Linked DNA regions of Arabidopsis thaliana. The protein of the gene in region 1 interacts with the protein of each later gene in a pairwise test. Each region holds a gene or a part of one and is shown in the gene's direction. Other genes may lie near its edges.

The links. Proteins that work in one complex are often made in the same cells at the same time.
Region 2: the proteins of FAR1 (region 1) and HB24 interact in a two-hybrid assay, tested with the Arabidopsis thaliana proteins (one large-scale study listed by BioGRID).

Annotation. Positions count from the first base shown.
Region 1 is NC_003075.7:8,612,441-8,618,710, forward strand, and holds FAR1 (FRS (FAR1 Related Sequences) transcription factor family), read left to right. Parts: upstream 1-1,619; 5' UTR 1,620-1,833; exon of another isoform or gene 1,834-2,252; 5' UTR 2,253-2,365; coding exon 2,366-4,489; intron 4,490-4,585; coding exon 4,586-4,639; intron 4,640-4,759; coding exon 4,760-4,828; intron 4,829-4,922; coding exon 4,923-4,985; intron 4,986-5,077; coding exon 5,078-5,149; intron 5,150-5,237; coding exon 5,238-5,285; intron 5,286-5,376; coding exon 5,377-5,430; 3' UTR 5,431-5,730; downstream 5,731-6,270. Other genes in the region: catalytic LigB subunit of aromatic ring-opening dioxygenase family, read left to right, coding at 6,014-6,250. UniProt on the Arabidopsis thaliana protein: Transcription activator that recognizes and binds to the DNA consensus sequence 5'-CACGCGC-3'. Activates the expression of FHY1 and FHL involved in light responses. Positive regulator of chlorophyll biosynthesis via the activation of HEMB1 gene expression.
Region 2 is NC_003071.7:7,970,480-7,973,955, reverse strand, and holds HB24 (homeobox protein 24), read left to right. Parts: upstream 1-1,874; 5' UTR 1,875-2,045; coding exon 2,046-2,834; 3' UTR 2,835-2,930; downstream 2,931-3,476. Other genes in the region: AT2G18340 (late embryogenesis abundant domain-containing protein / LEA domain-containing protein), read right to left, coding at 2,931-3,476. UniProt on the Arabidopsis thaliana protein: Putative transcription factor.

The DNA of each region.
Region 1 (6,270 bases):
ACGAAAGAGGAAAGTAAACTCCTGTAATATATTAAATTGAAAATAAAAGAAAAATAACGAATGTGAAATTAGAGATGACCTAAGCGAATTCAAAGTTAGCAAATTTAGAGTCGAATAGCGAAGAAAAAGCTTACTGTGTAGCCATGGCGGAGACCAAAGTAACTGGAGAAGGAAGAAGAGAGAGAGAAATGGAAGAAGGAATAAAAGAGAGAATTTTTAGAAGAAAGAAAAAAGACAAAATAGAAAAGCGTTGACAGGCTAAAAGAGCGAGACGGACAAATGAAAGTGGTTACTGGTTACTATTAGTACCAACGCTGGATTTTTAGCTTACGTGTCTATTTCACCTCTTTGATATTTTCTTTTTTTCCGTAGCAAATTTTAATTATTTTTAAATTATATAACCATTATTAATGATAATATGGTAGCTTAAAGTATTAATTAAATAATATAATTTTTATATAATATTAAAAAGTTCTCAGTAATACTTAAATATATATATATTAGAAAGTTATTTAATGTCTAAATTTCAGATTTTTAGAAGAATTTAGCCAAATTAAATCAAATATTAAAAGATTTTGCTGTTTAAAAAGGAATTAAATCAAAAAATATTAAATGAATTAAAAACAATTATCTTCCACTCCACATAAAAAAAAAGATATGTGAGTAGAAAAGAAAAAAAATATTAAAAGATAAGATGCAAACCCTGCATTTGTAACTCCATAACTAAATCTAAAAGCAAGTGACTCAGAGCACAACTCTCGTACAATTTGCCCTACAGTTTTATTTATATTTGGTGGCAAATGTCAGCTCTGTTTTGATGTGAAAGCCATCAACATCATGTAATTGATTAGCATATTACATATAGAATATGAGATACCCACATATATATAGAAAAAATGACGGTAAAGATTAAAAAAAAAAGTATACTTGATTTGTCATAATAAGAATAAGCATGTATCTCATATGTACAAAAATAGATTTAATGTTATTTATTTTAATATTCTTGTATTTTTTGTTTTATTTGAACTTATAATAAAAAAAAAACTGTAGATATTAATAGTTATGTAAAAATCATAAAAATAGATGTAAAAATCATATTAAAAGTTATGATAAATTTAGTTTACTACATAACTCTTTTGAAAAATGTGGAAAAATTATAGTAAACTGTATGAAAAGAAGATTATCATACAGTTAAAATTAAAATCTTTTAGAACATGTGTAGTGGTGGTTTCTAACCAAAGTTTTTAATTTACTAAAGTAATAATAATAAAAAAAATATTTAATTTGAAGAGTTTTTTAAAATAGTTTTTTCAAATCTTTTAAATTAAAAACTTTCTCATATTTTCTTAGAAATTGTTTTAATTAAAAAAATATTGTTTATTATTTTATTATTATTAATGTAGGCGAGAGATTTTGGTAAAAAATCACAATGCTGATGCTTTTAAAATAATCAATTTTTCTAAGAATACATAAATCAGCAATGCTTCTCACACGCCAAACGTAAATATAGACGCGATTATGAAAAAAAATCGCGTCGAAAACAAACGTCATTATGTCATTACACGTGTTACCAATCAAAAAGCCTTTATGTTTAATTAGTAAAGGCTAGTAAGAGATTTACAACAAATGAAAAAAATAAAAATAAAAACATAATCCAAGATCCCTAAAAATTCCCAAAAAGAACCCTAGATTTTCTCCTCTCACGCTCCTTGGTTCCTCACTCGCTTTTGCTTCCCCACTCGCCTGCTTCGTGTTCTTCTTTGCTTTGCTCTTTTCACGTCAGAATTTTGCCTTCCCTCCCTTTGTCTCTCTCTGGGTGGCCGAGAAAATACAGTAAAAAGCCCTCACCAATCCAAAAGTTTGACATTTCCTGAATTTTGTAGTCTCTTCATTTGAATTCTCAGGTTTTCTCTTAAGATACATTAAAGTCTCTGTCTTTTATGCTGATACTAATGAAAGTTCAGTTCTTTCACTGAAATTTTAGAACCAGAACTTTTCTACTACTAGAAGTATGTTGTCTCTGACTCTCTTAGTTTGAGTTCTCAGGTCTCCTTCTCTTATTTGTGTGAAATTTTACTCTTTTTTGGCTTTAGAAACAGAACTTTTCTACTATTAGAAGTTATGTTGTTGAAAGTTCTTCACTTTCATTTGATTCCATTGATTTCATATTGCTTTGTGTGTTTCAAGTTTGATGTTTTTAGGTAGAAGATGTCGCGCTGGTTCTTATGAAGTTTGGTTGTGACATTTTTCAGGTGCTAAGGTGGATTATCTAGTAGAAAGATTTCAGTTTCCAATTTCATGGAAGCCCATAGTGGGGTAGTTGCTTTTGAGTGTGTTAGTGAATCCATATGTGGCTAAGGTTAGGATGGATTTGCAAGAGAATCTGGTTAGTGATGCAGGGGATGACCATATGGTTGACATTGTAGTTGAACCGCATAGTAACAGAGATATAGGAATTGTTGATGAGTTCAATATAGGTGGAGATGTTGGATTTAGTGGTGATCTGGATCTTGAGCCACGAAATGGTATAGACTTTGATACCCATGAGGCAGCGTATATCTTTTATCAGGAATATGCAAAATCTATGGGTTTTACTACGTCGATTAAAAACAGTAGACGTTCCAAGAAAACTAAAGACTTCATTGATGCTAAGTTTGCTTGTTCCAGATATGGTGTGACTCCTGAGTCTGAGAGTAGTGGTAGTAGTAGTCGAAGGTCAACTGTGAAAAAAACAGATTGCAAGGCTAGTATGCATGTGAAGAGAAGACCAGATGGGAAATGGATCATTCATGAGTTTGTAAAGGATCACAATCACGAACTTTTACCTGCCCTTGCTTATCATTTCCGGATTCAGAGGAATGTCAAGTTAGCTGAGAAGAATAATATCGACATTCTGCATGCGGTTAGTGAACGGACCAAAAAAATGTATGTTGAAATGTCGAGACAATCTGGCGGATATAAGAATATCGGGTCTCTTCTTCAGACCGATGTCAGCAGTCAGGTTGATAAGGGTAGGTATCTAGCTTTGGAAGAAGGAGATTCTCAAGTACTGCTTGAGTACTTCAAGCGTATCAAGAAAGAAAACCCTAAATTCTTTTATGCTATAGACCTGAACGAGGACCAACGTTTAAGAAATCTGTTTTGGGCTGATGCCAAGAGCAGAGATGACTATTTGAGTTTCAATGATGTTGTATCCTTTGATACTACTTATGTCAAGTTTAACGATAAGTTGCCACTAGCTTTATTTATTGGGGTGAACCATCACTCCCAACCTATGTTACTAGGCTGTGCATTGGTTGCTGATGAGTCTATGGAGACTTTTGTGTGGCTGATAAAAACATGGCTACGAGCAATGGGTGGTCGAGCTCCTAAAGTTATACTCACTGACCAAGATAAATTCTTGATGTCTGCTGTTTCAGAGCTCCTACCAAACACTCGTCATTGCTTTGCGTTATGGCATGTTTTAGAAAAGATTCCTGAATATTTCTCACATGTGATGAAACGGCACGAGAATTTCTTACTGAAATTCAACAAATGCATTTTCAGATCTTGGACAGATGATGAGTTTGATATGAGGTGGTGGAAAATGGTCAGCCAGTTTGGACTTGAGAATGATGAATGGCTGCTATGGTTGCATGAACATCGCCAAAAGTGGGTGCCCACATTTATGAGCGATGTGTTTCTGGCAGGCATGTCGACATCTCAACGTTCAGAAAGTGTGAACTCTTTCTTCGATAAGTACATCCATAAGAAAATCACGCTGAAAGAGTTCTTGAGGCAATACGGTGTGATTCTGCAGAATAGGTACGAAGAGGAATCTGTTGCAGATTTCGATACTTGCCACAAGCAACCTGCATTGAAGTCCCCCTCGCCCTGGGAGAAGCAAATGGCAACAACTTACACCCACACAATATTTAAGAAATTTCAAGTCGAGGTCTTGGGGGTTGTCGCTTGCCATCCTAGAAAGGAAAAAGAAGATGAAAATATGGCGACGTTTAGAGTTCAAGACTGTGAAAAAGACGATGACTTTCTTGTAACGTGGAGCAAAACTAAGTCAGAACTTTGCTGCTTCTGTCGTATGTTTGAATACAAAGGGTTTCTTTGTCGGCATGCTTTGATGATTCTGCAGATGTGTGGTTTCGCCAGCATCCCGCCTCAGTATATATTGAAAAGGTGGACAAAAGATGCTAAGAGTGGAGTATTAGCTGGTGAAGGAGCAGACCAGATACAGACCCGAGTTCAGCGCTATAACGATTTGTGTAGTCGAGCCACTGAATTGAGTGAGGAAGGTTGTGTGTCAGAAGAAAACTACAACATCGCATTGCGCACACTAGTCGAGACCCTGAAAAATTGTGTTGATATGAATAATGCTAGAAACAACATCACTGAGTCTAATAGCCAGCTTAATAATGGTACTCACGAAGAAGAAAACCAGGTAATGGCTGGGGTAAAAGCAACAAAAAAGAAGACTGTATATAGGAAAAGAAAGGTATGCTTTTACTGAAGCTTCTCGCCAATCTAAACCTACGTACATTTTCTTAGCTTCAAAGGTTAAAAAGAAGATACTCAAATTGATCTTATGCAGGGACAACAAGAGGCTAGCCAAATGCTTGAATCTCAACAGAGCTTGCAACCAATGGTTTGTGCTTTGATTTGATCTTCTCTAATTAGTTTGATCATTGTAACTGCACATTGCTTTATGAGATTAAGAGTAGGATGTCTTGGATATATGGCCTTATAGTTTTAACATTTTGTGCAGGAAACTATAAGTTCAGAGGCGATGGACATGAATGGTTACTATGGTCCTCAACAGAACGTTCAAGGACTGGTATGCTATGTTAGTTGATTAATACAAACCTGGTTAAGCCATTCGACATCTATTATAAACCCTAATACTAAACCTGTTTAAACTGTGGATATAGTTAAATTTAATGGAGCCACCTCATGAAGGCTACTATGTAGATCAACGAACCATCCAAGGCCTGGTAGGTTACATATAGTTTAAATGCTTGAATCTCCCAAATCTGTGCTAGAGTATAAGTCAACGACATGAATTTTGGTTCTTTTGACTCTTCAGGGACAACTGAATTCGATAGCACCGGCGCAGGATAGCTTCTTCACGAATCAGCAAGCCATGTCTGGGATGGTGGTACATTATAAAATCCTTCAAACTGATTTTAAAAACTGTGTTATGAATGATCGTGTTGTTAACATCTTTTGTTTATTGTCCGGTCCAGGGTCAAATCGATTTCAGACCTCCTCCCAATTTCACTTACACTTTACAGGTCTCAGCTGCCTGGATAAAGTCTTTACTTTAGTATCATTTTGTACTCGAACCACACGTGTTGATATCGTTAAATCTTTTCGTTATTCCAGGAAGAGCATTTGAGTTCTGCCCAATTACCTGGTAGTTCATCAAGGCAGCTATAGTAGCAACACGTTTTGATTACTTTGGAGAGAAGTTTTGTCTCAGGAAACATTTGCAAGAAGCTGTTCCAAACATGAGAAAAACACAAGATCTTTCATGGAGCTGAGTTGCAATGACAAGATGTAATCTTTTCTTAAATTGGTTTCTGTATATTATGGGATTGCCTTATGATGTATTAATGTGGGATGAAATATTGTGTTATCTGATTGAATGTCTTGAGATTTAATAGATGCACTTGTAACAACATCTTTATCTAAACACATAGAAATCTATCCTCTGTGTATTAGTCAAACAAGTAATTTTGAGATCACATTAAATCAAAATTGTTAAAACAGGTTTCAACTTATTTAGTAGAAACAAAAAGTTATTTTTAGATTAAATGTGGTTAATTTGGTTAAATACACATTCCCTGGTCGTTGTCGTATGTAGGTGTGTCCCTTTTGACAAAACAAACAAACAGAAAAGGTTTCTTTATTCAGACAACATCAAAACTGGGGAAGAACCAAAACTAATAGAGTTGGTCAAAAGAAACATTTGCAAAAAAAAAAAAAGAGAGGCAAAGATCTCGAGAGATTTCAATTTTCAATGGAGAAAGTGAATCAAACCTTCTTCTTATCTCATGGATCTCCAACTTTGAGCATAGATGATTCCTTGGAAGCGAGACAATTCTTCAAATCATGGACTCAAAAAGTTCTTCCTCAAAAACCCAAATCGATTTTAGTCATCTCTGCTCATTGGGACACCAAATTCCCATCTGTCAACACTGTTCTTCGCAATAACACGATCCACGATTTCTCTGGCTTCCCTGATCCTATGTACAAGGTAAAACCAAAAAAAATATA
Region 2 (3,476 bases), on another chromosome or scaffold:
TTTTTGTATAATGATAAATGTTATATTTAAAAAAGTACAATGATAGAATGATATATACTAGTTTCTTAGATGATAGTTGTAAACTTTAGAATATTATTATTTTCCTCTCTCCTAAACTTTGATTTTTTTTTCTTCTAAAAAAGGCATTATTAGAAATTAAGAATCTCAAAATGTTAGTAATTCTTTTTCTTCACGAAGTACTAGTATTGTTTATTGTAAAAAAAATCAAGTTAGATTTCCCCGAACGTGTGGCCGCGAGGAACAGCATATGGGATGAGATATGTCGCACATGAGAAATGCATATAGTTACATGTATCTAGACTGACCATTCAATTTAAATATAATTGTTCAACTAACTAAACAAATGATAATAATCCTGTATGTCATCAACGAATCATAATCATTATCCAGCACTAAAATCCTTTTTTTGTTCTTCTATCATGGTCTACTGATCTTTTGGCTCCATTTTGGAGAAATCAACCGTAACTAAAAGTATATATATATATATATATATATATATATATATATATATATATATCTTGGTTTGAAGATTTAGTTTTAGTTTTATATGTCAAGTAGAACATCATTCGTCCACTTTCTGTTCTTTTTTTTTGTTTTGATTTTATATTTATTCTTCTAAACCATAATTCTCATCCATTAGATACTTATTTTGAATATCTTAACAATAAATATTGTTATTTTAATGTAACTTACACTAAAATGAAAAATTTAATATTAAATATAAATTGACAAGTGGAAGAAAAGCCTATTAAGAATTTTTTTCATAAGTTTTTATATATTAAAAGTCCGGTAAAAGCTCTCCAGTTTTTCCCAAAAAAATAAAATGAAATAAAGCTCTCCAATGAGAATTGTGTAAGGATTGCATTATGAAACACAAATCCGGTCAAAACACTGTCGATTACTCCATTTTTTTTATTTATTGTATGTTTTCATAACTTTAAACATTAAGGGTGTGTACGGAAAAAAACATTAAGAATGTGATTGGTTACTCTAATTAGCGCAAAATAAAAGAGTTGAGAAAAAATTCTGCCCAAATCATCTTATTTTGGTTGTCTGAATTTTAAAAATCAGATCAAAGTAGATAAGAGACCATACCATATATTACAAATATTTCGACCAATTCGATTTTCGCTTATTTTACAAACAATATTTTGGTTATCTTATTTATTTTACAAAGTAAATGTTCATAAGGTATTCAATCTTTCATTTTATTTTACAAACAATATTTAATGCATGCACCATAATATGTTGCACTGATCGTACTAAACCTACTTACATCGCTAATTTTACGCTAAGCCACAGACACTAATCTCATCAACTATACTAATTGTTGACATTCGACTTAATTAACACAAGATAATTTTATCATTACTCAACATTAAAAACCAATAAAAGAAAGATGTATTGCGACCAATGTGCGGACACTGTATGATAGAGAAACAACGTGGCACTGTCTGCTACAAGTCCACATCTTACTTTCTCTCTCCATCTCTTGTTTCTTAGTGGACTGTGTTATTATTATTATTGGCACAGACCAAACCCACTTGGCTCCTTCATTAGATTTTTTTTCTCTCTCGGAAATTGATGGGCAATAGGAAACACGATTCTCTAATTCTCTCTCTAGAAGGACCAATAGTGTCTTCTTCTCTCCTCTTTTCTCTTTCTCCATTAGTAACGACCTAAACTTTATTTTCTTTTCTTGATCTCTTCTTAAATGGGGTTAGATAAGTTTTCCCCTTTAATTTAGTTGCTTGTAGACTTGAGATTAGTCTAGTAGGTTTTGGTGGGCTATCACTAATACAAAAGTCAAAGTCAAAATTTTTAAAAAGGTTTCAACTTTGGAAGAGATATTTATCATCTTCATTTTCTCTATAGGTTTATGAGAAGCTAAAGCTATGATGATTTCTTTAATCAAAATAGCTTAGGGTTTTGGAGAGAGATTACTAAGAAAGTTTTAATGTTTGTTTAAGAGAAAAGTTATATATTAGGGTTTTCTTTATTCAGAAGCTTCAAGATCAGAAAAGATGGAAGTTAGAGAGAAGAAAGATGAGAAAATGGAGATGACAAGAAGAAAATCATCAGCTCTAGATCATCATCGTCTTCCTCCGTACACTTACTCCCAAACCGCCAACAAAGAGAAACCCACCACCAAAAGAAACGGGTCGGACCCGGATCCGGATCCGGATCTTGATACTAACCCAATTTCTATATCTCATGCTCCAAGATCATACGCTAGGCCTCAAACTACTTCTCCGGGGAAGGCAAGGTATAGAGAATGCCAAAAGAATCACGCGGCGAGCTCCGGTGGACACGTTGTCGACGGTTGCGGCGAGTTTATGTCTTCCGGGGAAGAAGGCACGGTGGAGTCTCTTCTTTGTGCAGCTTGTGATTGCCACCGGAGCTTCCATAGAAAAGAGATCGATGGTTTGTTTGTTGTCAATTTCAATAGCTTTGGCCATTCACAGAGACCACTCGGAAGCCGCCACGTGTCTCCGATAATGATGAGTTTTGGTGGTGGTGGTGGTTGTGCGGCGGAGTCATCGACGGAGGATCTAAACAAGTTTCATCAATCTTTTAGTGGTTATGGAGTGGATCAGTTTCATCATTATCAACCCAAGAAACGGTTTAGGACAAAGTTTAATGAAGAACAGAAGGAGAAGATGATGGAGTTTGCTGAGAAGATTGGTTGGAGAATGACAAAACTAGAAGATGATGAAGTGAATCGGTTTTGTCGTGAGATTAAAGTTAAAAGACAAGTGTTTAAAGTTTGGATGCACAACAATAAACAAGCAGCAAAGAAGAAGGATTTGTAAGAGATTTCTATATATATATATATACTATTTTTACTTCTCTTTGTTCAACATTGCTTTAACTTAAAGACTTTGTGTTTATTGTATAACAAATTGATTTTAGAGCTCAGCATAACGGTCTCTTATTTCTCCCGCAACTTGAGAAGCCTTTTTCTTTGCGGTTTCATAAGCATATTTTGTGGATTCTTTGGCTACACCGTACTTTTCGCCGACTTTTTCCATGGCTTCTTCAAATCCTCTAGTTGCTCCATCTTTGGCATTGTGTGATTTGTCTTTCATGTAGTCAATAGAATCATCCATTGCTTCTCCTGCCGTGTCTTTGGCACTCTTTGACTTTTCTTTGGCTCCTTCATAGGCTTCACCGCTCTTATCCGTTGCCATCCTAATCACATCACCGGCCTTGTCGTATCCGTAACCCGCCTTGTCATATGCAAAGTCTTTTGCATCTTGGGCCTTTTCGTAAGCTATGTCTTTTGCATTGCCAGCCTTCTTGTAGGCGTAGTCTTTGGCCTCACCAGCTTTCTCATAACCAGAATCCTTTGCCTTCTGCGCACTGCCATAAGCAGATCCCACCTTATCATAGGCCATGTCCTTGGCATTGCCCGCCTTATCATAGGCCATATCCTTGGCAATGCCAGCCTTCTC